Lepisosteus oculatus: one gene and its partners. The protein of the gene in region 2 purifies or fractionates together with the protein of the main gene of each other region. This does not show direct contact. Links are inferred from orthologs where the notes say so. Each region holds a gene or a part of one and is shown on either strand. Other genes may lie near its edges. The genes, in order: dicer1, aurka, ppp6r3 and calcoco1a.

What was found.
Region 1: the proteins of aurka (region 2) and dicer1 purify together in Homo sapiens (affinity purification with mass spectrometry; 4 studies listed by BioGRID and IntAct, counting the BioPlex papers as one, with this or other methods). This does not show direct contact. The link is inferred for Lepisosteus oculatus from reciprocal best matches to the Homo sapiens genes AURKA and DICER1.
Region 3: the proteins of aurka (region 2) and ppp6r3 purify together in Homo sapiens (affinity purification with mass spectrometry; 6 studies listed by BioGRID and IntAct, counting the BioPlex papers as one, with this or other methods). This does not show direct contact. The link is inferred for Lepisosteus oculatus from reciprocal best matches to the Homo sapiens genes AURKA and PPP6R3.
Region 4: the proteins of aurka (region 2) and calcoco1a purify together in Homo sapiens (affinity purification with mass spectrometry; 3 studies listed by BioGRID and IntAct, counting the BioPlex papers as one, with this or other methods). This does not show direct contact. The link is inferred for Lepisosteus oculatus from reciprocal best matches to the Homo sapiens genes AURKA and CALCOCO1.

The regions. Positions count from the first base shown.
Region 1 is NC_090703.1:556,239-564,174, forward strand, and holds the start of dicer1 (endoribonuclease Dicer), read left to right. Parts: upstream 1-4,926; 5' UTR 4,927-5,010; intron 5,011-7,936. Other genes in the region: clmna (calmin), read left to right, coding at 101-1,537, 2,192-2,373, 2,868-2,958, 3,304-3,368, 4,761-4,926. UniProt on the Homo sapiens protein: Double-stranded RNA (dsRNA) endoribonuclease playing a central role in short dsRNA-mediated post-transcriptional gene silencing.
Region 2 is NC_090711.1:2,943,234-2,951,248, reverse strand, and holds the start of aurka (aurora kinase A), read left to right. Parts: upstream 1-5,014; 5' UTR 5,015-5,227; intron 5,228-5,856; 5' UTR 5,857-5,862; coding exon 5,863-5,913; intron 5,914-6,745; coding exon 6,746-7,019; intron 7,020-7,418; coding exon 7,419-7,467; intron 7,468-7,708; coding exon 7,709-7,900; intron 7,901-8,015. Other genes in the region: prelid3b (PRELI domain containing protein 3B), read left to right, coding at 568-687. UniProt on the Homo sapiens protein: Mitotic serine/threonine kinase that contributes to the regulation of cell cycle progression.
Region 3 is NC_090716.1:11,765,678-11,772,858, forward strand, and holds the start of ppp6r3 (serine/threonine-protein phosphatase 6 regulatory subunit 3), read left to right. Parts: upstream 1-4,179; 5' UTR 4,180-4,377; intron 4,378-7,181.
Region 4 is NC_090696.1:19,076,437-19,083,905, reverse strand, and holds the start of calcoco1a (calcium-binding and coiled-coil domain-containing protein 1), read left to right. Parts: upstream 1-4,457; 5' UTR 4,458-4,563; intron 4,564-6,632; 5' UTR 6,633-6,661; coding exon 6,662-6,805; intron 6,806-7,418; coding exon 7,419-7,469. UniProt on the Homo sapiens protein: Functions as a coactivator for aryl hydrocarbon and nuclear receptors (NR). Recruited to promoters through its contact with the N-terminal basic helix-loop-helix-Per-Arnt-Sim (PAS) domain of transcription factors or coactivators, such as NCOA2.

The DNA of each region.
Region 1 (7,936 bases), on a different chromosome or scaffold from region 2:
TTGCAAATGGTTTCAATTCGACATGTCTGAGAGTCTTCTTGTCAAAGGCATAATGTGATTTTTAAAAATAATTTTAAAAATGTATTTATTCTTTTCACAGGAGGAGGTTTCTGAATTGGTTGAAATATCGGTTTCCGCTGCAACAGACAGCTCTGAGCTGAAGGAAGAGAGAATAAATGGAGTCAAGAGTGGGAAGCGCTCCTGTGTCGCGAGAACTGATTGGGTCCAGCTCCCACCAAAGATATTCATCTCCTCTGCATCAGATGATCCAGAACACACATCTCCCGACAGAGGTGGGCACTGTCAGCCCTGGGCCCACGGAGACGACTCCTCGGAGTCCACCTCCAGCTCCGCAGTATCTGCCGGGAATGGAAAACTGCCCCTGGAGCTGTGCTCTGAGATGTCCTTCCTAGTGTCCAGCTCGAGCTCCCCGCAACCCTCCTTCGTGGACTCAGTGCTTGACTCTCCGGACTCGCTGAGTGAGATTGCGAGTGAGTCCATGCCGCTGGATGGAGAAGGACAGTCTTCCGACAGCAGAAGCAGCAGCTGCCTCAATGAAAGCGATCCTCCTTTTGATCCCAATGGCAAGTGCTCCCCTGAGAAATCAATAAAAACTGTAAAGAAAGATTATATCCAGGGCACGGAAACTCCACTAGAAGACAATGCTGCAGAAGACAACATTTTTTCTGACCTTTTTATCGATGAAGGCACTTTCTCACAAAGTTCTGTGGATAGCTTTCACATGAAATCCAAGCTTCTGTCTGAGGAAGAAGATGCATACAGATACATCTTGGATTTGAATGATGCTGAAAATGCAAGTCAGTCAGAGTGCTGTAGTGGTCAAGAGGAGATTAGCACACCCAGTGAAGCCCAGGACAGACTGGAGACTGCGCTTAAGCAGAATTGCCTGTTGCATCACAGTTTAGAGGAGATAGTCCCCTCATTTATGGCTTCGTCCAGTGCTGACTTGTGTGGGAATACTGTCCCTTCAGAGCAGGACAAAGAAAGGAATCAGGAAGGGCTGAAACTAGATGCATGCACCAGACCTGAAACTCAATGCACCACCCAGCTGCTTTGCATTAATGAACCTGGTGAAATGAATGGAAGTGTGGTATATAATGCTAGACAAAATAGTATTTTACCTGTGGACATGGTGTACTACCCTTGCTATGAAGAAGCCGTATCAAATGTTTCTGGAGCATTTTCAAAGCCGGTCACTGAAAGAAAGCAGCTTCTATCTGGTCCATCTTTAGGTTCTGACAGTGCTCCAGCACAGTCCGATCACCATAGAAACACAGAAGCCTGCACAGGGAATCACCCAGACATGCTAGAAACAGAACTTCATGCTGATCTGGAGCACCTTAACAGAGTCACAGAAAGGTCTTGTCATGGGTCCATGTCTGCACAGCAAGACAGGGGGACAGAGGACCACTACGAGTATGTGGTCAGTACTGACGGGGAAGTGTCCACAGACAGGCTGTCAGACTCCATCAGAGATTGTCTTGCAGAGCAAAGCCAAGGCTCCAGTCAGTATCAGGTATGCAGAGATTTGGAATTAAGTATTTATTATTATTATTGAAATAGGGAATAAGATTACATGTTGTTAATGTGCTGCATCTTGTTTTAAAGATTTGTCTGACTTTTTATTCAAAAATGATTTATTATTAATCGGCTACCTGTTAAGCTCACTTATTTAGGGGAATATTCAAAGGATGAATGTATTGTAATAAATGAGTAACAGATGCCTTAGTTTACTTAGTAAAGTTAAATATTTTTAAATGTATCTTTGAATTTTTACACATTTTCATTCATATGTATCTTTCCTTTAGTGGGGAACAAGAGTGGTATTATATGGAAGTTGTATTATTTTAAGCAGGCTATTATAAAACTAGAAGGGTTGTACTATTTATTTAATAATACTGTATGAATTCCTGACTATCACCAACCAACCTTTTTTACTGCTGAAATGTACTGAAAGTGGTGGTAAAACTTTTTGGTAGCTAATAATTCATCACAACATGCATTGTAAATTTAAACTGATGTTCCTGAAGCTTCAGTGTTGAGGTATGTCAGTTCGATTATGTAGCCTGTGTGACACCTGTGCTGTTTCCCTTCTTTACTTAACTTAATGTCCTTCCCCTCTGGCTGAGTCCTTGCAGGCTGTGATTGCTCTCTCTTTATTCATGGCCAGGATGCAGGAGAACAGATTGAGAATAAAATGCCAGGAGGTGTGGATTGTGATAAGAAGGAGCAACAGAAAGAGGACTTCTGGGATTTAGAAGATGTAGAATCAGATGTGTCTGAGATCAGCTGTGAATTTATTACTGCCACAAAAGGACATACTGCTGCTGGAGAAAGCACAGACTTACCGAGGTACCACAGTTATCTGATGTAACACATAATATTCTCCTACATGGTATAAATAAGAAATGTTGTCTCACTGGTGATTGATGAATATAAAGATAAGGTAATATTTAATTATATTAGCTGTGCCTTAAAATGACATTTAGTTATTAAGATACTTTGAACTTAATGGCCTACTTGGAACTGAAAATTTGGTCTGTGCCACACGAGCTCATGGCCTTAATCTGCAGTATCCTAGTCAAAAGGAAGGAGTGTGCATGCTGGACACACCAGCAGGTGTTACTCTACTGCTCTGCGCCTTTGGCTCATGCGGTGTGACAGCTGCTGCGGTCTGTTGATATTCATGTCAGGGTTTTTACCGGAATCAGTCACAGTCAACAGGATACTTTTTTTAGCCTTTTGTCAAAAGCAGCATTTGCTCCCATTTCCCCCTTCAGTAAAAATGAAAGAGTAGTTCAGTAAAGTGGTGGAAAACATTAAATACATTTATTCTCTCTGAGCAGCACAGCGGCACCGTGTGATGATTCACTGAGAGAAAGCCACCTTTCTCACATGCTATACCTGAGGAAGCTTGATGACAGTGAGGACATTAAGGTAAGTTAATAAGAAACCCAGCCTTAAAGAAAGAATTCAGTCATTTTAAAATATCTCCCTATAATGTGCAATTTAAGCAATGTGTGATAAAGAAACCTTTAACTTTTTTGGAAGATTTTACTTCTCCATTAGCTGAATGTAGAGATGCATGTAGAAATTAGTTTTTTAGAAAGGTTCACCATTTCATTGGCTTGTGTGGAGATTAAATCTAGAACATATTGCAGTTGTTTTATCTACCTCTACAGTTTCAGACTTGGAAAAACTCAACACATCTGTGCCAAGTTGTCTCCATTTAACACGAAGCATGCAAAGGAAATGAACAGGTGTTTTTTTTTATCTTAACAGGAGACAAGCATGAAGATCAAGGCGAAAGGGTGTGAGACAATTCAGACAGTTAGTTCTGATACCAGGTATTTTATATGAAGACGCCTAAACATTGTACTGTAATTCTGCCCACATTTATCATTGTATACTGTATCACATCACCTCACTTTATTAGCCACATACAATTGTCTTGCATTAGGAATTCATCTTCTCGCATACCCCAGGTTGCTCTCCATGAGACACAGACACACAGACAGGGAGAGAAGCTTGGGGTCAGAGCGCAGGGTCAGCCATTGTACATTGTACAGCCCCTGGAGCAGTTGGGGTAAAGGGCCTTGCTCAGGGGCCTAACGGAGAAGAGTTCCTCTGTCGGCCACAGGATTTGAACCAGCCACCTTCCAGCCACTGGCATAGATCTTTAGCAAAAGTGCCACCACTCCGCCTGTTGTAGACTGTTGCTGAAACAAATACTAAAAATCATTAGACAAATATTACAATTACATTGTGATTATTGATTGATTTATGATTATTTTAAGGCTTTTCACATAATTTATACATTTTATTAAATATTTCATCTTACTTTAAATTATTAACTTATCTAGATGCCACCTTAATGTTCAGATCCGGAAGTGCAAAATGGCTGCTGTATTAATTAATCAGTCAATCTTTTATTTGCTTTAATTGCCTTTGCAATAGTTTGTCACAGAGCGCTTTACACATTCACAATATAATGGTTTAGGCTTGGTCATGCATGGAATTTGTTTGGAGTACAAAACAAATTGGACCTTGAAGGATATAGTAAGAAGATGAACAGTTTATCTGTATCTTTTTCCAACAGTAGAGGCTAGATAGGTCGAGTCAGTCACAGTTAAGGATTAAGGCAAAGATAGAGAGCACAGGGTTCACCAAGGAAGCCTAAGAGGCTGGTTGTGCCCCTTGTAGTGGGAGCACAGAAAGACAGTCTTCCAGCAGCACGCAGTGTCATGTAGCAGGTCAGAATGAATACAGAATGACACAATAGGCTCTGTGGTATTAACAGTTCAGAGAGTCTCAACAAATCCAGTACTCTTAACTCGGTAAGTGAATTCTGCAATTCTGTATTGAAAAATGTGACTCGTACACTTACAGGTGTCCTGGATCTGGAAGTAGCTCTTAGAGCCTGAAGAAATCATCGTTACTCACCTTGTGCTCACATTCAGTGAGCCTTTTGTTCTGTTCCACAAGCTTTCTGTGTGTGTTAATATTGTACACTCATCAAATTAGATATTACCAGGTGTTGTCTACTTTCGTTTTTTCCCATGACAACCACTTGTAAGTTAAAGTTCTCACTGTGCTGCTGGAGGATCTCAGATACAGAGGTCTGCACTGCCTCATGGTGTTGCAATCACCATGCTTGAGTCAGAGGCTCATCACCTCCTTCATCACAGGGTGAATGAACCCCTGGACATTGCCTGAATGGCAGCTCTCTTATCTTGCAGAGAGGAGTACAGCGGTTCAGAGAGCTCGCCAGAGACGCCTGTCAGCTCTTCGGAGGACTGCATGCAGCTGCTGCTCTTCCTGTGGATCCTCCTCTATTGCCTTTTTCTCATCCCCCAGCTGGACCTTGAAGCTCTGCCACATGCTCTCCTTGCACTGAAGAAATGAGGAGCTCTGTTACATGTTACAGGCTTCACGGAAGGTCACAATCGACAGAGGACAATCAAGAGCACAGAATGTTAATCTACTCATGTTTGTACATATGCATTTTTGTTTTATTTTTACTTTATAACTTATTACTGACTTCGTAGCCCAACTGGAATCTGAAAGGACACTAGACTGCAAGGAGTCACTAGATGGTACAGTAACAGCGCTGCACACGGTTTACTGCCTTTAGAAAGTCTTTTATTACAGTGTTCTGTAGTTTATAAATAATTATTATTGCTTGTAAAAGAGCCAGTCATTCTAAGTGGAAGGATGGTACAGTTTTTTTCACCAGTGGATATTGCAGCAGTAGTTTCAGTTTTGAAATATGCAAGGTGTTATGTCACCTTGTGCCACTTTAAAGCATTAGTCCATGGACTCCACATCAGTCTCTGTGTTCCTATACTTGTGCTGCTTACATTTTCTATAGACAGAAACTGCCAAAGATACAGTACAGTATTTAGAGTGGAGAAAGGCTGGGCCTCTTCTTTTGCTTTGCTTACAAAGTAAATACAGTCTTGGTCTGTGCATTCTTTTGCATTTTAAATTAGGCAAGCAAGTTTTAGTGTGAGAGAGTGTTTAATTTATAATTGCTTTTTTGCCAAACATGAAGAAAATAATGGAACTTTTTGTGTCGCAAATAATTTTACATAAAATGTAAATATATAGAATGAATACTGTATTCATTTCTATTTTTATTGTTTCTTTCGTCATAAGGTTTATAAATTCTTGATTTCAGAATTCTTGGGATATTTAAAGATCTAAAAATGCACTTATTTACGTATAATTACATTGGTAATATTTAAAAAATAGTCAGGCTTTAAAATTGTTTTTGTACAATTTATATTAATGAGAATGGAACTACAGAACTTTAAAGGTTTTATAATGGATCATGTATTAATTGTATTTCTTTTGTTAAAGGATGTTAAAAGGTTTCAATATAGTGCTTTACAAGTAATCTGAAAAAAACTAAATTTTCATACGAATGAGTTCTAATTAAACTGTATAAAATGGTAGATTTTTTACTGTTACCCGAATGATTAATTTTTAAGCTATGGGTTTTGTTGTAACAGAAGAAATAAGGTTCTTGATCCCGAGATGAAGTGAAACAGATGAGTTTATTGCATGCAAGGAACAATAAAGCCGAAGTCTTGTTTCCCGCAAGAAACAACAAAACCGAAGTATTGTTCAACGTACTGTTACAAACTTTTGGGTTATATAGTGTTTTCTTCTCCGTTTCTGACGTCACTCGGTATGATGGTAAAGAGGGGGGTTCATGGTATTTGGCCAGTTTACGATGTTCTGGGCAAATGGTCAGTTTAACATTACACCCAGGGGGGTTCCTAGCTGGCATCTGCAATCCTTATCAGTTAACCCCCTTTCCTGCCATAAACCCCTGCTTGTGACTTGGAAGTCTAAACCCCCTACAGAAAAGATTAAATTCAAACCCCCGTCTTCACATCTTTCTTCATTCCCCCCTTATAAAATATGGCATACGTCAGTGTAGCCTATTTTTATACATACAATGTCAGGGCAGATCTTTCCTTTCTTGGCGAACAGGTATGTATTGCCATGACATTGTACATTCCACGGTTATGGCAAGATGTGATACATGTTTTTGTGCACGTGATGATTACAATTATACATATAAACAATACTACTCCTACAGATAAACACTATAAAAAGGTTCCACCCCAGGCCCCAAACACAGACTTTACCCAAAACCCAATTCCCCAATTTTCAGTATAATAGTCCTGATATTTCTGTCCCTCATTGTAAATGTGTTGGGCCAGATCTGAGATGTGCTCAGAATTATCAGGGATATATGTGCAGCATTCAGTGCCAATTACTGCACAAGTTCCTCCTTGGGCCGCCAGTACATAATCTAAAGCTAGTCGGTTCTGCATGGCCACTGTTCTGAGGGCTACCATCTCATCATTAACAGCCTTCAGACTAGATGAGGTAGAATTTGCTAATTCTTCTAAAGTCGAAGCCATTTGAATTAACTCTCGACTCAGAAAGTTCATGCCGGCTTGTGGAAATATTATACCTAAATAATATTCCCAATCAGCCAATTTTCTTTGTGGTCTGTGGTTAGGTCCGAAGGGGGTGTGGGTTTGAACACGGATATGAGGAACCACATATCCTAAATAACATGAGCCAGACCACTGGGCTGGCAACCATGGGTAGGCTCGTTTTCCACAAATGAAATATGTTCCGTTTGGCGCTCCCCATGCCTCTGAAAATAAGAAACTTATACCGAATTGTGGGGTGTGCCGATCCCATCCTGGAATTTGGAAGGTAGAGGTGGATATATTTGCAGCGATGGTAAGGTTGCAACGACTCCATCCAACCAAGTGCAGACCATTAGTGTGCTGAAAACATATGTTTCCCTCACGTTCCTTATTTAGAGTCAGGTATGGTGGTGTATGGCTTCTGTTATATTTAGGAGCGTAAGAGCCTGTGAAACTCGTGGGCTCTAAGCCTCGCTCCTGTAGATACTGTAATGTTGTGCAGGTTAAAGTCGTGTTATGGCAACCCCCATAGTTTGTCATATTAAAATCTCCTAAATTATCCCTCCAAATGATCATGCCTATGACTTCCTCGAGACGCCAAGGAATGGCTCCCATAGGAAGTCCTCCCTGTACATATTTGGGTAATGCTGCACACACACAGCAGGCACTTTGGTTGGTTTTCTTAGCTGTCAGATAGGAGAGGCCTAAAAAGGAATTAATTCCATGTTCTCCTTTGTGGGAGAGATGATCATTAATCCCTGCGGAACATAGTTCTACAGCAACAATTATCATTATTGACAGAAATGATTTCATTCTGAGTCTGTAAATGGGGATGAGGCTCGTCGGCAGTGTGGCGCGTGGATCCAGCGATCTTTTCCTTCCACTCGAACCGCAGACTCGGTTGTCAACAGGATCTGGATCCCATCTGGGCTGGAGAACCTGTGAAGGAAATTTCCTGA
Region 2 (8,015 bases):
TTTTGAGTTTTATGTAACCTGCCGCGCCTCGGGAAGGTAGTTTTCTTCGAGCGGTGCTCTAACGAGTTGGGCGGAGTAGGTACCGAGCTAGTTTAAAATGTACCTTCTTTTTAAAAACGCGAACTCCTTCGTGTCAGACCTGACCTGCAAGGCGTTTGCTCCCGCGTGTTGGTGGACGAGGGTGCGAGACCCTTTAGATCTTCAGTGTTGTGCGTCCCTGTCTTGTTACATAAGACATTGGTTGATTTGGACGAGAGGCTCATTTACAGGCCCCATCCCCAGGATCCTGAGAAGTAAGGAATTTTAGACTGGGATTATCTTTCGTGCTGTGTGCTGACTTGTCGGGTGTGGAGCTTGTTCTCCCTGCTCCCTTGGGCTGAGATCTGGCAGGGGGAGAAGGCGATGTCAAACCTTACTTTCGTGTGCACATACAGTGCCCGCTGCCTTCCCCTCGTGAGTGTACCTGTGTGTGTGTTCTCGCCGCGTGTTCCTTTCCTGCAGAGTAGCATTGCATGTGCCTGTCCGCCTGTCCCCTCCGCTGAGGCGCGCTTGTCTGTGCTCCTGCAGGGCCGCGAGGCGATGGAGTGGGTCATCAGGCGGCTGAACTCCGAGATCGAGGAGCTGGCGGCGACCGCCCGCAACACCATCCGGACGCCCATGGCTGCTGCCGCCGTTACTGAGAAATGACCCCTGAGCCCGGGCCCTTACCAAGGGGCGCATCCTCCTCTCGCCAGCACGGCCTCCCTCTGTGTCGCCGCAGACTAATTTATTGTGTGTTCACGCCGACGGGGATCTCCGATCGCCTCTCTGTCCCTCCTGCGCTCGAGGGCACTCTTGATCCAGTGTGATCCAGCCAGGTGTGACACAAAGGGAGGCTGTGGAAACGTATTTATTGCTTGGGCGGGCAGCCTAAGACTCTGGATTTGGTGCCGGTCCTGCGAAATCTGGCTCGTTCGTTATTCTTTTTTGTTCCTTTAGGTCAAAACTCTATAAAGGTTTGTGGGGAACCTGGGCTCCCAGCGGGGGGGGGCACAGGTACTTTCCTGACGGCGCCGGTTCAGACTGAGCTGGGCTGTGACCATCCTGCCACCCCCCAGCAAGAAGGTTTTGTGAACTGGACCTCCTGCAGCTTGTCCGTGGTGCTGTCCGGGTCCAGAAAGAGAGGGATTTGGACTGCTGGGACCCGGCGGTTCTGGGTCAGAGGCAGTGGCGAATGCCGTCTCAGCCCTGGGCTAGAGGGGTGGGGAGGAGAGAAGGGATTGGGAATGCAAACAAAAACTACAGACCAGGTCTGCTGTCAAGGGTGAAGGATATTTATTTATTTTATTTGTAGAGGTAGCGATTTAGCACTTGTAAAGATTCTATTTATTTGAGCCACGTTCTCGCAGCTGACTGCTCCTCATCCAGAGTCCTCCTCTGAGGGCCTGAAACGGGCCCTAGCACGCCGGTTCAATCCGGCAAATATCTCAATACTTGAATGTCAAGTACTGTACGTTTCTCTTTTGGAGTATTAACTGTTGTACCAGTGGAGGAGACCACGGGAACAGAGAGCGGACCAGGGCCGGAGGGCGCGCAGTGGTGCTGTGCACGGCTGGCGTCTCTGAGCTCAGCTTGCGCTGCCCGGGGTCGGGGGTCAGGGGTCGGAGGTCGGGGTGGGGGATCCTTCTTCAAAAGGTTTACTTGCTGAAGCGCTCCAGGAAAGAGGGGGCGCCGCCCTGGATAAATGCTGGCTTTGGCAGTGCCACAAAAGCGTGCGTAGGTCAGAAAAAGGAAAGGGGCGTCTTTGTCTTACACGCACAAGAAAGAAAACCCACGAGTGGAGAGAGGGTACTGAGAAACCAGAGATGGGGGAGGGTGGGACTTTTTGCTTGCTGTACAGTAGGAGTTTAAAGGAATTGTGTATCTTTCGAATGTTCATAACTTTTCTTGTTACCCTGTCATGTAACAAAAAAAGTCCTAGTGTGTTTGGACATTTTTGGAATGTATTTGACCGAACTTAGTGACAAGAATTCAGTGATTGCAGAACTGAAGTCATTTCCGCACTGTGAGCCCTTTTGATTTCTCCGCGTTGACCTGCCATGACCCTGAGGGCATTATATTACATTTGGTCTACATCTGTCTGTAGGAAACACACTACCCACCTCACTTCTTCATGGTGTACATGCTGCCTAGGCTGTGCTTTGCCACTAGACTCGCATTGCCCCTTGTCTAAAAGCTGAGCTCAACAATGTCTGATCCTCTAGGAAGATGCGCTGCTGAGCCACAGTGGCATCAGAGATCTAAACATAACTGGAAAGGTTTGATGCTTTTTCAACACAAGCATAACCAGCCTGTGTCACATTGCATGCACCTGACCTTCTGAGAGACCTGCAAGGCTGTCAAGCTGTTGCAGTCCTTCTGTCACCTGCCAGCTACCTGTGGTGTGAGTTTTATTCGGAAGAGCGAGTGACGTCACGCTACAGGAATGCGCAGAGCTGTTGGGAGTAGGGAGCGGTTGTCAGGATGAAGCTGGTGGAGAGGTGGGGAGCCCGAGTCTTTAGAGTGATGCCATCTCCTGGTTTCTCCAAGTCCAGGCCCGTCGAGCTCCAGCCCTCGCCGTCCACCTCCGCGGGGCGTTTTTACAACAGCCAGCTCTGCGGTCACCTTATCCAGACTGCAGGCAGGGGCCGCCTGCGGACAGGTGCTGTGGCAGCGTGGAGACCGAAGGGTCACGCAGCACGCCAACGTGTGCTCTCCTCCACGACCTGCACAGCGACATGGATGCCGATTCAAGGGAGCATGGATTTTCCCCGTGCCTCACCCAGGGTACCCATGAAACTGCTCGGGGGCTTTTGCAGGCGAAGGTCTTTATTTGGAAAGATCTAGTTCTTTTTGTACAAAATTCCACGATTCCCCCGTGCAGACTCGATAACGGACTCCCACCCGTTTCTTCATCCTGTACGGGGCTGCAAAGAAAAAGTCCCGAAAACGCCCTCTCTGCCGGTCTGGCTTGGTAGAGCGATGCATGTCGGGAAGCTGGTGTAATTAATCCTGTCCTGAGCGCCGAGTTGCTGCGAATCTGTAATGCATGAATGCTGACTAATTTCTACATGCAGGAGTCTTTTACTTTTGTACTAGCGGGTGTGAAGCCCGAGACTAACTTTAACTCTGACTTCAGAGGAGTCCCCCTCCGCCCGCGGGAGTCATTTCCTTGGAAGAGTTTGTGTGAGCCGGAGTGTCGTGACACGGCGGCTGTTCTCGCCTGATCCAGCGCCGGCCTGCCTTGCGAGTTGCCGTTTCGAGAGCTGTTGCTCCGGTGAAGGAGGATGATGGACCTGGAGGCGAGCTCGGGTGCTGTGCTGTGTGGCAGTCATCTAACCTTCGCTATGAGCTCCTGGATGTGTGGCACTACTGAGGGGCCTGGGTTGTGACTTTTTTTATAGGTACACAGCATTTGTGGTGCTTTATAATGTTTTTATACCAATAGACTATGGTTTAAAAGAACTATCAGCTAGAATGTGTGCGGTGGGGGTGAGGGGGTAGGATGCATTTTGTTAAGGCAGGAGAAGGGTGTTTGGTGAGGAGTGAGTGCGGGTCTGTGCTGTGTGTGATGGAACAATACCGATGTCAACAACATGCTTAACGAACTTGTAACAACTATATGCTTAATAAACTTGTAACAATTTAGCCTGGGTGTTTCTTTCTTCACAAGTGGGAGTGGATAGTGGGGAAAGGATAAGGAGCTGCACTGGTCAGTTCTAAGGCCGGTTCTTTAGGGTCACAGGAGTTTGGTTTCTTATTTTTGTTCCCACTCATTATGACACCAATTCCTCCCGGAGGAACTCAAATTGGTGCTGTTGGATCTGGTTGCTGGGACTGGGAGAAATGGGGGTGAGGCCGATGTTCTCTGGAGACGAGACGGCTTTGGTATCCGTCCTGCGTTCCTGCTGCTGTGAGACGTGTGGCTCAGGGATGGAGCCTGGGCTCCCAAATATCTGCCAGAGCTCGTCTGAAGACGCCGAGTGACCCTGCAGGCCGTCTGTGTCTCTGATGAAGACCAGTATAGGAGGTGAAACGGCCAGGTGGTTGGTGCTGCAGACAGAAGTGTGTTCCTGCAGAGGCATATTATCATTGCTCTGGGTCAAGGAAAAACTGTCCCTGCTATAGCACCCCGTCTCTAAGACGGCCTCAGAGCAGCTGCCCTCCTCTTGCAGTGTCTTCCAGCTCACGCAGTCCTCATCTGTAGCCGGGGGGTCAAAAGGCCTGTGGTTTGGGAGTGACACAGGCTGCTTGCAGGTAACATGTGTTTCTCTAGTGTAAGTACACTGGCTACAGAGACTTTCAGTGAAGACTGAGAGGACAAGATGCATGTCTTCACAAAGGCTGAGGTGTTGACAGTGATCAACTGCGTAACGGCGAAGGGGGCTCAATTGGAAGCTGTGTTTAGTACTCCATACAAGGTGCATGTCTTTCCACAAAGGGTTGTAGGAGTCTGGAACAATGCATGTTACAGAAGCAGATGGCAATAGGTTCATAAAGAAGAACCAGCTGAACGAGAGCCTTAGATCGACTTGAAACGGCACGGGTAATGGGGGAGTGGAGGCACGCTGGGAAATTCTGAATTCAGCCATTCTTTAACCTGGTCCTGAAGGACTTCTCCCTACTGAGCCCTTAATCACCAGGAAATTAAAATAATTATTAATTTAAAAGGATTCAATTTTTTTAACTAAGATTTGAGAAATATGATAAAAACTTATTAGCATGGAGGATTCATTTTTATATTACGATAATAGCCGTATTATCACACGGTCTTGAGAAAATGGTTCTCGCCGCACAGCGGCCGTAGACTTGTCCTTTGGCGACAAGCAGGGGGCGCTGTGGGAAATCGCAGCACCTTTTACACCGGCTCTGTACGGTTGGAAAGGCGGCCCCAGCCAATGGGGAGCAGGGGCGTGGTTTGATCTCGGCCAATCAGACGCGGGGAAGGTTTAAAGGTAGTTAAAAGAGGGAGATTTGAATTTAAACAGATTGTAGTGACGTGCGATAGGAGCATTGCGGCCTGCGGGCTGGCTCGGCAAAAAAACTGTGGGTTAAAGCTGAAAATAAGCTCTTCTAATTCTCGGATTCGCCTGGTAACGTACCTGAAAGGATTTAAAATACAGAGACGGGGCAGAAAGCGCGTTTCGGGTGTGCGAGGAAAAGGAGACACGAAAATCCGTCGTTCGGCCTGAACAAGTAGCTAAAAGCGGTACGTGAGAGCGCTTCTGATACTAACGTGGCCTTTTTTCGTTTTATCGTGATCATCTGTCATCTATCATGATCATATGTCAACCAGTTGTGGCTTAGAAGTCTTGGTATATGTAAATAATGTGCTTGTTATTGTTTCCGGTCCGGCGTGGGATATGTATCTTTTGTGGAGAAATGTAGTTGCTAATCAAATATTTTTCAGCTGTATGTGTAACAAAACCGTGAGTGAAACGGAGGTGGCAGTGTCGTGTCCATTCAGGCTTTGGGGAAAAAGGTTCAGAAAAATGCGTACGGTTTCCACGTCGCCATAGGAGACGCGTTTATACACCAAACGATGCGTCTTGAACAGCGAACTAGCCGAATTCGCTTATCTGCAGCGGGACGCCTTTCAGACGTCGATTAAAATCGTGAAGATTATCTGCAGGTGTGTCGCCCTGGGATTTTTAGTTGTGGTGGCGATCGTGTTTTATTTTTAAAATAAATTGGGTATGCTGGTTTGTATTCTAGATCCCTTAGTCGTGTATTTTTAAAGGAGACAGTCGACTTTATTAGCGTAACTCGTCTTGTTTTAATTAAGAACGCGTATAAGAGTTTGAACATCTCTCTTTCCTTCATCGCTCCTTTCTCCAGTGATCCATGGATGCGGCCAAGACGGCGAGGAGGTCGCAGTGTCCTGCGACTGCGAAAGTAAGCTGTCGCCGGTGTGAGAGCCGCCGTGCGCCTCCCGGGATCGCCGCTAGGGGGAGACTCGTACCCACTTCCGAATTCCTGATCGTTTAGTTTCTGAATGCCCGTGCTGCAGAGGGGCCAAAGATCACGTGTGCTCCTCGGGAGGGCGCAAATGCAGGGATAATTTCCGCTTGCACACAGTTATCCCCTCCACCCACACGGGGGATCTTTTGTCTTGGGTATAACCATGAAAAACCGATTCTCAGGGGGGGAAAAAGTTCTGATCAGTGCTTGCAATTGGTCCGGTGGTTCCTGGTCCTGGTGACCTGCAGGTTTGTGTTCCAGCCGAGCCCTTAGTCACACAATCAAACCCTTCATTCGCTTAATAATAAGATTAATGTGATCTGTTTGTTCCCGGGTCTTACACATGCTGGAGCTTTAACTGTTGTACTTTGTAGGTGAGAGAAAATCCCTAACTAAAAACACAATGCAAATATTCACCGGAAGCAGCTCATTAGCATTAGATCAGGTAGGGCTGTGATTATCTAATTACAGTGGGATGGAATGAAAACCGGCTGGTGTGCAAACGCCTTACCTCTCTAGTCTGATCTCCTTAGGTGACAGTTGTTTCTGCTGTGACACAGAACCAAAGCTTAGGAAACTGTGGCTCATTTCCCATGTTTCACTAAAGTTAGCTCTTCCAAGCTTTCTATAATATGTCTGTTTTCTTTCATTCCAAGGAAAGCTTGGTGTTTTGAAACTGCACTGGGCAGGAGTTCTGGAGTGTTGTAGATTAAGGCTACCTGCAGTGTGAAGTGTGGTCCCTGACTCTCCTCTCCCCATGTGTTAGCAGCTCAACAGCGACGGCCCTAAACGGGTCCCCGTGTCCCAGAACAAGCAGGCGGGTGTGTCCACGTCCTCCCAGCGGGCCCTGGGCGTCTCCAACGGGCCGCAGCGCGTCCAGCGCCCCGCCGGGCCGCAGAAGCTGCCCCAGCCTCCGGCCCTGCGCATCGAGGCCTCGCAGGCCTCCCGCGAGAACACCCCCCCGCCCGCTCGGGGCCGGACCACCTCCTCCTCCTCCGCTCCTGCCCCTGTGGAGCCGCCCGCGCAGGAGAAAACTGCAGGTGGGCAGCCCTGCTTTCCCCAGTCTGCGGTGTGACACTGCTGGGCTTGGGCCTGTCTGAGGGAGGGCTGACGGAACATGAGCTCTGGGATAGCTGAAATAGAGCATTACTGGTAACTTTCAGAATAAGCAGCGGTCTTCAGAGCTCCCCGGTACTTGCAGTTCACTTATTTCGATGTGCTGGAGCGAGGAGTGTCCAGTCTGAGACATCGGGGACTCAAGTCAAGACCTGTTGGCCGTTGGGCATAGAGAGGCAGGAGAACGAGCTCTAGATCAGCACAGGCACATGTCAATAAAGGAAATATCTTGGATACATGAAGGATCTGCACACAAAGTCAAATGTTCTTTTACACTAATGTTCAAGAATGTCCCTGTAGTAATTGTCCTTTTTCTTGTGCAGATAAAGCTGTGGCCACTGGATCTATGAACTCTGTCAACTCTAACTCTAAGTAAGAACCAGGAATTGAACTCTTGGGGGTCACATTTTCCGTATTAAAAAAAAATGCATTGTCCTTTTCTCAAGCCAGCAATTAGAATCGATTTCTTTACTTTGCTCCTGGTGCTACTGCTCGTCTTGCATGTGAAGGGGGGGACACTAAACCTAGATCAGGAGAAATTGTTTTTTTTCTAAGCCACTTCTCATATTTATCTAATGGGAAAACTTCCTGAATCCCGTTCCTTCTTCCTCAGGAAGCGCTGGAGCCTGGAGAACTTCGACATCGGCCGGCCGCTGGGAAAGGGCAAGTTCGGGAACGTGTACCTGGCGAGGGAGCGGCAGTCCATGTTCATCCTGGCCCTGAAGGTGCTCTTCAAGAAGCAGCTGGAGAAGGCGGGCGTGGAGCACCAGCTGCGCAGGGAGGTGGAGATCCAGTCGCACCTCAGGTACACCTCCTGCAGGCTCCTTGGGCCTCCCCTCCCGCCGTGGGGAGACGCCCTGTTCACGAGCTTCTCAACATTCCCATGTGGAGAGTGGAGGGCAGTTGAGTGCAGGGAAGTG
Region 3 (7,181 bases), on a different chromosome or scaffold from region 2:
TATTTAATAGTTGTACGTTGATAGTGTGTGAAATGGTTAGGGTGATAACTAAATGAATAGACTGTTCCTGCAGGTGTGCAATAATCAAGAATACTTATTTAAATTTAATGATGCATTGTACTTGTAGCTGAATCCCATAGGGAAATGTCAGGGTCTCTCTCCTCTACAGGCCTGACTTATTGTGAAAATGACAGTCTTGATTTTAACCAGCTGTTACAAAGGTAAGTAGGAAAGGTTTGCATTTCATCTGGATAAGAATTCACTACTCAGAATTCCCAGAGGACCCAGAATATTTCATACATAGTGCTTGCCATAAAACCACGTTGCAATATATATATATATTTAGACCAGATGCTTACTTTAAAAAGGAGACTTATTTTCAAACATATATTTTTGCTTAGTCTAATGTATTATTTTAATTAAAATGTGCATATTGGAACAGATTACTAAAAAAATATCATAACACTTAGAACAGAGAGTGTTTTGTTACATTGTGACCTGAAAATGATAGAAATGCAATGAAGCCATGCTGTAGTTTTCATCTGCGATGTCCTCTGACATGCTGTTTTTTTGGAATCTATAGAAGAAATGATTTGAGCAGCTGAAGCTGTATTTAAGGCAGTTTAATATCTTCCTTGTCTGAGGGGGATACACACACACACACAAATGCCTTAGAGGACTGCAAATACAGCACCAGACAGCTGGGTTGGATTTAATCAGTGTTTACAACACTACAATGCATGTATACAAGGCTTCTAACGATTAACACAGCTGCGATTGGCACACAAATCTTAGCGACGGTTTTGTAATCCGCCAGTTTCTGATCCGCACATAATCTAAGGGTCAGATGCCAGTTCTTGTTTTTTACGCTGCTCTGAACATACTGTAGTATTCCTGCCCTGCATTATGGTGTGCACAGTATACAGTGTGCTACAGCAACACTGAGGTACACCACACTGCAGCTGACCCCATTTCAACAACTGAGGGATGTAAGAAGACAGGGATATCCAGGCACACCTGGGAAACAACTGGCAGAGCGCACGCACATAAGACACAAGTAAGGTGTGATTATTCTCTCCTTTCTTCAGTGTTATATGGTTTATTCTTCAGTGCTCTTGCTCATACTGTTGTGTATGTAGCTTTGTCCAGCGTTGCAGTGTAATCAAGTAAACAAGCTGTTAAGGAGACCTGCCCATTTTCTTTACCCAGAGAACCGTACCATTGCAACAGGACACCAAGAAAATCACAGGCGCAGAATGTAAATCTAAGCGACGCACATCTGTGCACCTGTAGTTAGTGCCAACACACACAAAGCAAGTGCAACAGTGCTGAGAGATCAGCAAACGGAATTGCTTTTCAGCTCCAGGGAGATCCTGGAATGCCCTTATGCAATAGGACTGTGGAACATCACTGTCTAATGGCTTCATCTCTTGGTCTGTGACCACTACACTTCCCCCTTTCTTTAGGTCCAGCGCCCTTTTCCGACTTCACTTTTCATGAAGGCAGCAGTCACATGTGTCCAGGTGACGTGGCAGCTGTCAGCTCTGTCGGATCAGTCCTGTTTATCACAGCCCGTGTGCTGCAAGCCCTCCCTCGCATGTGTGAGGCTTTATTTGTCCGCGGAAACTGCTCACTTTATCAGGCCACACTGCTGTCAGCCAGAGCTGCCCCCTCCTGAGGCCAAGGGGTGGAGATTCGCTTCAGTCCTCATATCTGGGGACAGGATACTGCACGCAGCAGGTGTACGAGCCTTGGCTGCTCACACACACAGAGCCACCCGCGACACTTGCAACAGAGATGAAGGCACTGTTCACCAGAGACCGAATTGAAGATTTCACTTACTCCTTTCTTGCCTCCAGACTACATGTGCCAAAGCATTGGTTTTTTTCCATATAGGATTAAGTCTACTTAGTGACAGAGCAAGAAGGATTGAAGACATGAAGGGATGTCTATGAGAAATAATATCTCTATATGTTCTTAACATGTATTAAAGAGTTGATAATATGATAATATTACAAGAAATATATTTGAACATAGAAACACCTTTGTCACCTGTGGCAATGCTTTGTAGTTAACGTTTAATTTTCCCTAGTGCCCTAATGCATGTTGATCATATATTTGACATATACTACTGTGTGCCAGGGCTCCTGAACCCTGATTCTGGAGGACCAGTGTGTCTACAGGCTTTCAGTCCAACAGGGCTCTTAAACACCAAACCTGAGTCAACTCAATATTGCTTTAATGGCTTTAATGGGCCAGTTTAAAAGCTTCTGTTAGCTCTTCGGGCACAGCTGCTTTCAAGAGACTTGAAACACCTCCTGACACACCAGCCTTCTGGGACAGGAGCTGGTAAACCCTGATACTTGAGTATCACAGTAATGCTTCTTCTGAGTCCCCATAACAGGGACCTCCAGACCCGGTCCTGAAACAACCAGCTTTATTGCCTGTTTTAAAGGAACACCTGTAAGCTATTGATAAATTCAGCAACCGACATGTTCTATTAAATAAATTGTAATCCTTTGGCACTGAACATTTGTAACAAATTACTTTGATTGCAAAATGTACAACCACTGATTGCAGTTCAATATGTCCCAGTCTTCAGGACCCGATAGTCATCAAGTATGGCAATAAAGCCGGAGCCATTGAGGTTCAATCTGAAAATATAAAAATGTTCAGTCATGAGACTGTGTAACTGCATCTTTATTGAAGCTGCCTCATCAGAGGTATAATAAAGTAGAGCTCAACAACATACATACCCTGATAATTGCCTAGGAAAGGTTCTCTTCCTCCTTTATGGTGGTCATTGTGTTTCGGTGCAATTTGAAGGGAAAAACTTTGCCCTTAGGAGTTAACTGCATAAAATGTTTATTCAGCACCTAACTATGGAGCTGGTGGCCTTTAAAATGTTTTACCACAACAGTGGTTCGGGCAATTGCCTTTCTGTTTTCTGTTAGCGTTTTGGTTTCCTAGATTCTAAAGATTAAACCTGAAAGATACAGCTTAGAAGACAGCAGGATATACAGTATACAGTACACAGAAAAGTCAGTTCCTTAAGGGAGTCTGAATCTTAATAGTATTGGAGTGTTTTTGTCTTTTGCATATGTACATGCAAAATTGTCTTAAACCTCTACTTGACAGATTTATCTGGTATTCTTCTTTAAAGACATTAGACTGGGTTAAATCATAATTTAAGTATTTTTTTCCATCAGAACTTCGCAGGCTTCATGAGATTTACACGTCTTTTTTATTATTTCCCAGTTGCGCTCATTATGGTAGATTATGTTAATAGTTTTACTTAATCTTGTGTGTGGCTAGTTACTCACTATACCAAATAACCCCCCTAAAGACCCAGCGAGTGCCGACCCATCTAGCTGACTTGACTTCAAACCAGTTTCGCTCGCACTCAGAGACAGAGGCCCGTATCAGTCAAAAAAAAAACAACAAAACCCGCTTTTCCGTTCACACCATTGGCGATCGGGCTCGCCGGTACTCGTCATCCCGAGGTGGTGATTGGACGCAGCAAATGTCAATCATGTCAATCATAGCGACGTCACATTGTTGCTAAGGCGTTGAAAACAACTGAGGAAAAACGTTCGCGGCGAATCCGAAAGCGAGTTGGATGGGGCGTTGAAGGTAGGGCGACTGATGCAATATTTTATTACAGTAAGACATTTTCGCCCCGATATGCGGGCTCGTTAGTTTCTCGGTGAGTGAGCGCCGCCGTGCAGTTCACGGCCGCTCAAAGTTGCGAAGTGTTTTAAACCCTCAAAAGTGGAGCGATTCACTTTTCTTCCTTTTGAGTCGTGCGGGATACTGGTTTGACTGACGACGGCCTCGGCCAATCAGCTTACAACGCCCAGAGGCGAGTGTGAAACTGGATCCATCTTGGCTCCAACACCACGCTTCCGTGTCGCGATGAACTCCAAAAAGAAAGGCACCAAAATGGCAAACGTCGACCGCAGTTTCTATCGCAGTGCCGGCCGTCTGCAAAACGTAACCAATCACGCCTGAGAGAAGTGTGCGTAACGCGTCACGCTGCTAATATGATTGACAGTCGGCTCGACAAATCGCTCTTCTGTATGGAGGGAGGCTGAGCTTGACTGACGTCGTTTTAGCCCAATCACAGACGCGCTGGCAGCTTGAGTGGCAGGTGTGGCAGTTATGTATGGGGGGAGGGGTCGCTGAAGTTGATAGATCCGCCATCTTGGAAGGTCCTGGTAGATGGTCTTATCTATTTTTCCCGCCTGCTGTAAACATTTTATTTTTTTTTAAAATACGATTCCCCGTTTCCTTCGCGGTTTATGTCCGAAACGCTCGTAGCAAAAACGTTTTCAAAAGCTACATGCCTGGCGGTCGCCATTTCCCCTCTGTTTGTCGGTACGTAGTCCATGCAGTTCTTGCTATTGGTCAGAGAGGACTAGTTCGCAACTCCGCTGTTTTGCAGAGTCAGAGTGGTTGGGGTTTGTTTTCTTCTTTTATTAAGTTTCAGAACGGGTGCGACTGTGGCCGTGTGACTCTTTCGTCTGGTTTGTGTGCATGCTTTGTGCCGGCTCTGTTCCGGTTCTTTCGTGTTAAAAGCGTGCCGAAAAAGCCGGTTGACAAGTTCGTGTTTTGTCCGTCCCCCCCCCGTCGGCTCGGCGTAATCGCGAAGTGTGTTTCCAGGCTGTGTTATCGTCTGTTTGTGCTTTTCGCGTTTATCCGTCTCCAGCTCGGCTGGTGCGGGTATCTGCCCCTGGCTTGGGAAGTTCAGTTTCTTGATTCGGCGATTTTCCGGTTTGCCTCCCGCCGCGACGCGAACTTGGGTAAAACATCGCTCCGGTTTGCTCGCTTTTTATTTCCACCTCTCGAAGTGTCATTTTAGTTGTGTGGGGGTTTAAATCTTTTTAGCGATGTTACATCTAAGTTCACGAGTCGTGAACCCACACTGCTGAATGTAATAACGCTTAGGGACTTGAATATTTCAAGGCTTGGGCCTGACAGATGAGGAACCCACCTTCCAACATCAACATTTTGCAGCAGTGTTTTGGTCGTATACTTCCTTTATCGTGTAACAAAGTTGACCGGACTTCCACATTAGCTGCATTATGTGCCTTTTTGTTTTCGCCACAATGGTCAGTTTTGTAATTAGCGAAACGATTTCTGGCTTAAAATTACTGTCTATGTGTATATACGTTTATATACAATATAGTTACTTGCGCCGATTTGGCATAGTATTTTGAGAAAATGAAGTCGTACCCACAGGAGAGGATTAGATATGTAGCATAAACTTTTTTATAATTGCTGAGATACTGCTTCGTCTGCATAAAGATGTTGGGCGTTTTAAATGTTGTCCAAACATGACGACTATATTGCAGAAGTATTGTATGCAAGTCTTTTTATGATTTAGTAGAGTAGTAGTGGTCCCTTATTAAGACAAATCACATTCAAGCTTTAGGTCAGTGATTCTCAGTCCTGGTCATGGAGTACCTGGGCATGTGTGTGCTGGGCATTTAATCACCACTGTGCTAATAGCTGCCAGTCATTTCTGCTTTTTGTTAGGCTTTTTATTGCACTCAGGCCTTGGTTTTAAAAATATATTTTTACGGTGTCTCTCGGTGCTGGTCCTGGATAACCTGTGTGTGGATTCCTCGGAGTTTGGTCCAGGGAAGTGTTGATCACGGACTAATTATTTTAAAATCCTGACTCACTGGGAGTTGTCAGATAGTCTCGGTCCCACGTGTCTGTCGATCAGTTGATCACCTATAGATGTTTAGTCAGAGATAAGGGAGCGATTTCTGAATTGAAAGGTTGAGAAGAGATTGCATGAAGAGATGTGTGATGATGGCATTTCTGAAATCAAGGACTGAATGCAGAAAAAGTCTAAATCAGTAAGCAGATCGGTTACAGGTAATTAGCACTGGAGATAAAGGGCCCAAGAGTAACAAAACACAGCAGGTACAATAGTATTCCAGCACTGGTATTGAGTACCAGTGCTTCAGATGTCTTGGATTCCCACTCAAGTTTGCATTTTACAGTTAGTGTTTTTAATAGAATCTATAAAAGGGCCTGCAAAATGTACAGTGGAAAACATAATATGCGTAGAGTCGTCATTCTGCATTAAGGCTTGCCCCTAATTCTTAAGTCGTTTAGCTTCTGCATCACCAGTCACTATTCCTAAGTATCATGTCTCTTAGACTGGAGGTTGTGATCTCACACCATGTGACAGCCAAGTATGGAAGATGAGCAAAACTCTTCATTCTTTTGGTTTGATGAAATATAAATGTTATACCTTTTTTTAGATTGAACTGTCATTTGTTTGTCTTGGAGTTTCTAATGATTGGACACCCGTTAATAAGCAGCGTCGTGATCTGTTCATCTTTACTTTTAATTTAATCTGTCATGAGTTCAAGTGCTTGCTTTCTTCTGCTGATACCACTGCAAAAAAAGTGAAATTAAAATCCCAGAATTCAAGTTGGTAGTTGGTACAGATTTACTATAGTATTTGCATTCTGAAATAATTTAATGACTTTTAAGTCATAAAAAATAGAAGTAAATTACGTGAAGCATTATTGTACACTAATAGAGTGGTGAATGTGAAGCAAATGTTTGGATAATGATGTTTGTTGAACCAAAAAGGGAAGTTTATTTCTTAGTTTATTTTTTAGTGGGATATTTTTTTTTATCAAAGTTATAAGTTGCAGCTTAGTCCAGTAGGGCATTAATATCCACATTAGGAGGTGCAGTTTCTCGTCTTACGATTGTGAGGTTTTGGACCAAGTCCAGCACCTATGCATAGCCCAGCCCCTTGAAGAATCTATTAAAAGCTTTCCTTCCTCTCCACCATTCATGAGAAAGAAAACTAGGCCAGGAGAAATCCAGATTTCTCTCCTGTCACCTTTCACCTTCATGAATGTATTTGCTTTATTCTTTTGGTTGCCTTCCCAAAGACAGAGCTGAAAAGCTAAGCTGCATCACTTAACTACCGTAAAAAAAATTGATACCCAGTCCTGCTTGGCAGTCCTATTCAGTTTTTGTTTTGATAAACATTGTATCTTTTGGGGATTCTGAGAAAAAATATTATGGTAAAACTGGCTGAGATATGGTTAATTTATCAGTCATTTAAAATTGTTTTCTTTTTGAGAAGATACTGTTAAGCAATTTGCCAAAGGTTTTTAGAATGAGTTGTAGTAATTTACTCTTGT
Region 4 (7,469 bases), on a different chromosome or scaffold from region 2:
CAGCAACCCATCTGTCAGCCCCCGGTCTCGTCCTGGTTTCATGTATAAAGATCGCTCAGCGGACTGCATCTTATTACTCCTTCTTGTAATGCACGTTTATTGCACCGAAAAACGAGCCTGTTCTCCGTTCTGCTGCGCCGCGTATGTACGGGACAGGGCTGCGACGCATGGTGCCGAATGACGCCACACGGCAGTTTGTCATACTGTCAGCGCTCTGCCGTGTTGCAAACCACTCCGCTGTGCCTCATTCCAGCACCTCTTGCTGCACTGTGCTGAGAGGCACTGTCTGCCTGCTTGATTCTGCTGCCATTACTGTAGGCTGTTCTGCTAGATAGGGATCTCCCTGTGGGTTCTGTTTTCTGTAGTGTGTGTGTGTGAGAGAGAGAGAGCGAGAGAGCTGGGTGGCAGAAAGGCTGGGGCTCTGGGACTTCTCAGCTCTGTGTCCTGCAGTAAAGCTGTCAAGGAGAAGCCAAACATCAGCAAGGCCCGCTGACCAGCAGGAGAAGGAAGAGGGGGTTATCCCATGATAAGACTTCCATCAGTTATCCCACTTCCCTCGTCGCTGGGGGCGGCCTGGCCTGTGTTTCTAACTCTGCCCAGCACACGCTGCAATCACTCCCTCTCAGGCTCCCCACGCAAACTCCTCGCAGACAGGAAAATCTGTCCCACTGGGAAGTCCGTCCTGTCACCTCTGCCTCCTCCACAGGCTCGCGGCCTGGTCAGGGACTGACCCCTGTAATCAGACTCATGTTCTCACCAAATCCTTTGTTACCGGGAGTCAGAGACGATCGCACAAAGGCTCACCCGTGCAAACGATTAGTCAGAGGGGTTAGATTAAAAACCCGGGGGCTCTGTGTGTCTGGAGTGGCAGGGATCAGGGAGTCCAGCGCTCTGCAGCAGCAGGCCAGCTAGTTACAGAGGTGAGGGCCAGGGATGCTCATGAGGTACCGATGGCCTTCCCTGAGGTGGGCTGGACTGTCCAGCAGAATGCAATGGAGCAGGTAGGCATGGAAAGGAACAGCTGCTACCGCTCACCTATGCCGGTCACAGCAGCAGAGAGGGGCTGGCAGGGGTAGAGATGGATGGACAGAGGGAGCTGGCAGTAATATTCAGCTTACCGACCGTAAATCACCAACACACACACACACACACACACCTCCCCCACCCGCCTCTGCTTCCCCCAGCCAGACTGACTCTGTTAAAACCACTTCATTGCTCTTTATTGGGGCGGCTCATTCACTGCCTGCATCCCATTAGCTGCCGCGGCGGCGGAGCGCTTATGTACTGAGGTGCCGTTTCCTGGGCTCTTTATCACCGGGGGGAGCTGTCACTCAAAAGGGGCTCCGCCCCCCCCCCAGGTCTGGCACATGGGAAGAAGCCGGGCCTGCCCAGAGCAAGGGTGGTTGTCCTCCACCCCCCCATCGACAATCAGCTGGCTAATTGATTCAATTAACTCAATTAAGCGCGCACGCAGAAGGGAAAGCCTTCAGCCCTGTACCAGAAGAGAGGTTCACTGTCGGACACTCAGTCCCACGGCTGCTGGATCTGCTGCAGAGCCCTGAGATCCACAGGCCCTGTGGTGCGGATGCAGTTGGGAAACGACTCTCCCTGTAGCAGCTCAGCCCAGACCGGACGCCTAGTGCACAGTGGTTTCGGGAGTGAAGGACAGACCAGTCTTAAATGCACCTTTGAATATTTAGGCGCCTTTCAGCTTTGTCTGCAGAGCCAGCCCTGGAAAGGGGCGAACCAGGCGACGGCCTAGGGCCCCCTCAATGTGCAACACAATGTCTTGTTCATCGGCTCGGCTCGATGAATTCTTTCTGTTGTGGCTGTGGATCATCCTAATGGAAGGCGGCCATAATGGAGACCGTCGTGTTTTCTGAAGCTGAAGAAAAGAAGAGCAGGCTAAGCGATCTCAGACTAGAGCTATACCACGTCAGGTCATTGCAATAGTGCACAATATGCAGAAGAACGTAATCATTTGTACTGCGTTTGGTTTTGAGTCTGTCAGATGCACTAGCGAACGGTAGACAAGCCAGATTTTCATGTTACACACGCAGACTGCTGGAGGTGTTTTACTAGAAATGAACAGATGTGATTGTACACATACCATGTGGGTCGCCCGCCTGAAAATCGGCACTGTCCGGCCAAAAACAGCGTGAAGATGAATGAACAGTACAAAAGACTGCTCAGCACAATCGATTACATGTAATTGAAATAAAATGCATTGTTATCCTTGCGGTTCCTCCTGTATTTCCTCTTGTAGTTCCTCCTGGAGCGCTACAGGAGGTCATTCTTGCCTTCTGCCATAAGACTGTACAACGCATCCACCTTGCATCTGAGCAGAGGCAATATTGACAGTGACCTGTTTCTGGACTGAACACATCTACACATCTACTGCTACATCTGTTCTCTTTCTTTTTCTTTTTCCCATTTACAACCATTTTTTGTGCAATACAATTATATTTATATCTATATTTATATTCATATGTGTGATACGATTTTTCTGTGTACTGTTCTGTTCTAGTTTGTTCTTTGTGTGTCCGGACTGTGAGTAACTCTTGTATTGTATTGTATGTATTGTACTATTATTATATAACTCGTTACACTGTGGCTGTGTTGTGTGTGTTAAGCTGCTGTTGCACTGCAATTTCCCTCACGGGTTCAATAAAGTATCTATCTATCATTTCATTAAATGGGGGGTTTGTGAACTCAAACCAGTAGCCCTTTGGATTGTAATCTCTCTCCCAGTGACAGCAGCAGGAGTAGTGCTTTTCAGAGCTCATTCAAACATACCTGAGGCAAAAATATAAGAAAAATGATTTATAGAATGTTTATCAAACTTTCTGCTCAGCCTTATTGATCTCACCCCCTTGTCATTGAGTGCATTTGGTTTTTATTAATTTCATATTTTTTTCTACAATTACTTTCTACAAAGGTTGCAGTGCAGTATCTTGTGAGTCATGATTTGCTATAATTTTGAAGTAACAGAGGTCCTTCTAGCATTATGTATTGTTATTAATGTTACTATTTATTACTCTCAATTGTAAAATACATTATGTCTGTTAAATGTGTGCTCCACGTTCTGGTTGATAATTTATGTATTATGTGTTCTTGAAAGCTGGTTAGTGAAAGTTTTCTAGTTCTATAATTCATGTATTGAATTGTTCTAAATAGTGAAATAAGGTTGTGTTGGGAGCTGTTACTAGCAGTGTCTGCACAAATCATGATCTGCAGGGGCTCCATTCCAAGATCTTACCCAGGGCCCCCAAAAGACTAGGGCCGTCCCTGTCTGCACAAGAGCCTGAAATCTATCAATCCCGAGAGTACAGAGAAACGAGAGAAAGAACCAGGATTTTCCTTCCCCGTCAAGGGTCTCAAACTACAGTCCTGAGATCTTCCCCATCGATCGTTAAATAGATTCATTTTAAATAATGTGTCTAATAATAATGTCCGCCTCAGTTTATGTCTCTTCCGGTATTAAGAAAAAACAGTGAACAGGGTGACAGCTTTGCTCAACCGCGCTGTTCATTAAAGTTTGCCGCCATCTGGTGTTCAGATGCGCATCGCGTTTGACAACAGCTGTCGCGGTTGTCCCGTCAGCGCGACACACGCGTGTCAGCTACCCCCAAACTTAATAATACACACCAGTGCAGGTTAACCGGCCCCTATTACAGACTACAGCTGCTGGTCAGGTGCCGAGTTCATTACTAGGGGTCAAATAACAGCGATTTTATTAGTCGTCTAAGCTCCAGAAAATAAACTGGCATTTCAGAATCCTGGAAGGCTCGATGAACCTTTATGAAACGACACCAGCGTCGTACAACGTTGAGCTTTAGTGATGTGTTTGATGTTGTCCACGTGTGTGATAAAGTACACTATCGCTCTGATCAAAACAGAAGGCGGGGAGCCAAGTCAAACCTTTCAGTTCAGTTTATGTCATATGCACAAGTGCAATGAAATGCGTATTTACACGTATCCTCCAATACAAAGACAATAAAGGCATCACCAAAAACATAAACACAGAACAGCAGCAGCAACAACAACAATTAAATAACATACAACTTTTAAAAAGTCAGATAAGCAGTATGAGAGAAAAACACATCAGTGTGAGCCGGCGGTAGGGGTAGAGTTCAGTAATCTGAATCTGGAATCTTTCCTGGCCTATAAATCTTCATCTTGTTCCTTCCATCGCAAAAGCTGCCGATTTATTTATTTTTTTCTGGAAACTGTAGCTTGTACAGGCGAGCCCTGAAGTTGGTTTAAGGTTTGCATGGACAGAAACCACATCCCCCATAATGCATCGCTGCTAACGGGCTGCAGCGCATGTTCGATTACTAGCGCGTCATTTCCGTGACAGGGGAGCTGCAGTCAAAGTGTCCAATAGCGTCGGTCCCCCAGACAGAAAAGAACTACATTTCCCAGGAAGCAGCGTGACGGCCCACGCGGTCAGGTCTCTGTTTTTGTTATTGTTATAGGTTAGTGGAACAGCTGACGCGGAGAGAGGTCGTTGAGAAAAGAGTTCTGTGCGTCTTCATTTGAACATCTTTTCAGAAAATACAGGTGACGTTTTATCTACTAGTTGAATGGAAAACAAGTTAAAGACAAAGCATATCTTGTGTTTACTTTAGTGTACTTGACTGTTCGTTTTGCGTTTTTATTATTTTCAGAGAGAGAGAAAAATGTAACTTAATTATATGTGTCTTGTGCGGTTTTAAATGTTTTCGTACGCAGTTCTTATGGGTTTCTTAAGGGGACAGCGATCCCAGATGGGAATCGATGCACATGGTTAAAAAAATGTATACTTAATTTCTGAAGGATGAGAGTAATTTTAAACTGGTTTGCTGCCAGCGAAGCCGAAAACAGCAATTTAGTACACCGTTACCGAATCATGCGTCCCGCTTTCCGGATGCCAAGAATGTTTCTGTTAGACGTGTTTTTAGAACTATTAATGAACCTCCATCAGCGCAGTCCTCATCAAGAGCTGTCTCACGGGTGTTACGCCGTGCACACACTTGAAATGTCTCCAAAACCGCGGCCTTCGACACACTGAAGGCCTGAGTGCTTGGGAACAATTACAGCGACCTAGAGCTGCGTGGACCACAGGCCTCCCGTCCTGAGCAAGACTGAGAACAGGCGGCGGCGGCGGGCGAGAGCGTGGGTTCTGCGTGACCCGTCTAGCGCCGTCGTGTCGCTGGCGCTACTGAAGCGCACGACTCGAGTTGCGGGCGCCTGCGATATTGCTGGAATTCATTTTATTCACGTCGGCAAAACTCAAGCGAGTACACGGACAAAGCGAGCTGCGTGACTCGATGACTAGCTCAGCTTCCGCAGAGATGGTTGCCTTCACCTAGCGTTTGAGAGGAACACGTGGACCGGGACTCTCGCAGGTGCGGGTCCACCCTGCGTGTCTGTGTCGTGCTCTGGCGGACGAAGTTGTTGTTTATTTCTGTGCCGATGATTATAAACCCCTCGACCCCTCCTCTCCTCCCCTCCCTTAGTCATGCTCCGTCAGCTGGACCCGCGGTGTCCCCTGAGTCCCCCTGCTCATGTTGCAGCGCCCCCCTCCCGCTCTGTCCCTTTCTGAGAAAAGTAGGACTTCGGTTTCCAGAAGAATTTGGACCCCCGGTTTCACAACACCTTGAGCCCTGAGCCCTGCCTCTCTCCGTGTCGCATGACTTTCGGCTCGCTGTTTCGGGTATTCAAAGGCATCTAATTTCGTGTTTGAAGAGGCGGTGTGCAGTTGTCCTCTTCGCGGCCTCAAGTTGTCGGGGGCCGGGGGAGGCGGGACGGGTCTGTTGCAGAGGCCGTCTTTGAGGATTGAAATTTGTGTCTGATCCCAGGGTGCTGGGCATTCCTGCACACAGTGCTGCAGGTACAGAGTGGTCTGTGCTGGACACGCCCAGCAGGAGGCTGTGTAGCGCACACAGCAGTTCCGGGATTGAGTGGTCCCTAGCTGCTGCCACCCGGAGTGAGTGACTGAGCCTGCTCGTGATCGGTGCGGAGGATGGAGAGTACAGCCAAGGCCCACTAGCAGGAGCACAATCCCTGTGGCACTCGCTGAGGACAGAGGTCCCTCCCCTGTCTGTGCCTGAAAGCACCTGCTGACAGGGGCTATTGTACCAGCAGCACAGACCTGCCGATTCACAAGGGCTGCTTTTATGGAGGGTGCCCGCTCTGCTGCGGTGTGCCCCGAGGCCCGTGTGCGAGGCAGAACGGGAGGAAGACAAAGGGAACGCGGACGAGCCTGGTGGAATTACCTGGCCCAGGTGTGCCAGAGGCAGTCAGGAGCAGTTCCCACGGCAAGGCTGCCAACACTGCTGGAGAGCGTCCAGGGAGAGGGATAAGGGGGTCTGGGAGAGGGGGGGGGGAGAGACAGTGGGTGCTGAGACAAGGCAAAACAGAAGGGCTGGGGAGATAAGGGAAAGGGGATAAAGAGGGAACTGGAAAGAAGCGAGAGAGGGAGGAGGGAAGTAGAGTACTTAAACTCTCTTCCTGCTCTGTGTAATGGTAATGTGGTACATAGATCTGCATCTCATGGGTATTCCATTGAGTTGGCATGATAACCCAGGTGCCCTGCTTTCCGCTCTCCGTCTTCCTGCATCGACCTCTGTTGCTCCCCTCACCCCCAGGTGGGTGTGTCCAGAGCCCTGCAGTCGCCATGGAGACGACAGCCCCGCCCCAGTGGAGGGTGGAGTTTCGGAATGTGGGGAGGAGCTACTTCCCCCAGAGCCGCGTGGAGTGCCACTACAGCATGAGCCCCCTTCACTGCTGGGCCAGCAGTGACTGGATAGGCCTCTTCAAGGTACCTTCCTCATCCTCTGTGTCATCTTCCCCCACCTCCTCAGCAGCCTCATCAGTGTTTTAACTAGGCTGGCTCCTTTTGGCCAATTATACATTTTGTTTGTGGAGCTTCAGCCAATCTGAACATTAACTTCCCTATTTTAACATGTTTGTCCAAAAGGCAAGAGCTTAGCGTTTTAAAATAGATCCTTCAGCCTTTACAATCCATTTCGTGTTTTCAGGAAACGTGGGAATTCCTTCACCTTTTTCTTTTCCCAAAGGCCCAAAAAGTGCATCTCTCCCACTGTGGAAAAAATTGTGATTTGAGGCAGTTTTGACTTCATGATTAATATAGAAAAACACAAACCGCCGATTGTCAGTTTCTCTGTGAATGGAGACTCTGTGCTGTCTCCCAGGCTTCAAGGAGAGATACCAATTGGCAGGTGTCAGTGTTGATTTAAATAAAGCCATTGGCTTTACAGGGTGAGCTTTTTACTGCACAGCAAAATCAAACACATCAGGCAGGAGGGAGCCTTGTTGTCAGCAGCACTGCTGTCGTTACCGTCGCTGCTGGTTTCACAGCTATTGTCCTGGAATCTGATCTCGTCTCTGTGCCTCCCCCTCTCCCGGCGCAGGTGGGTTGGTCTTCTACACGGGATTATCACACCTTTGTCTGGGCTCTGTCT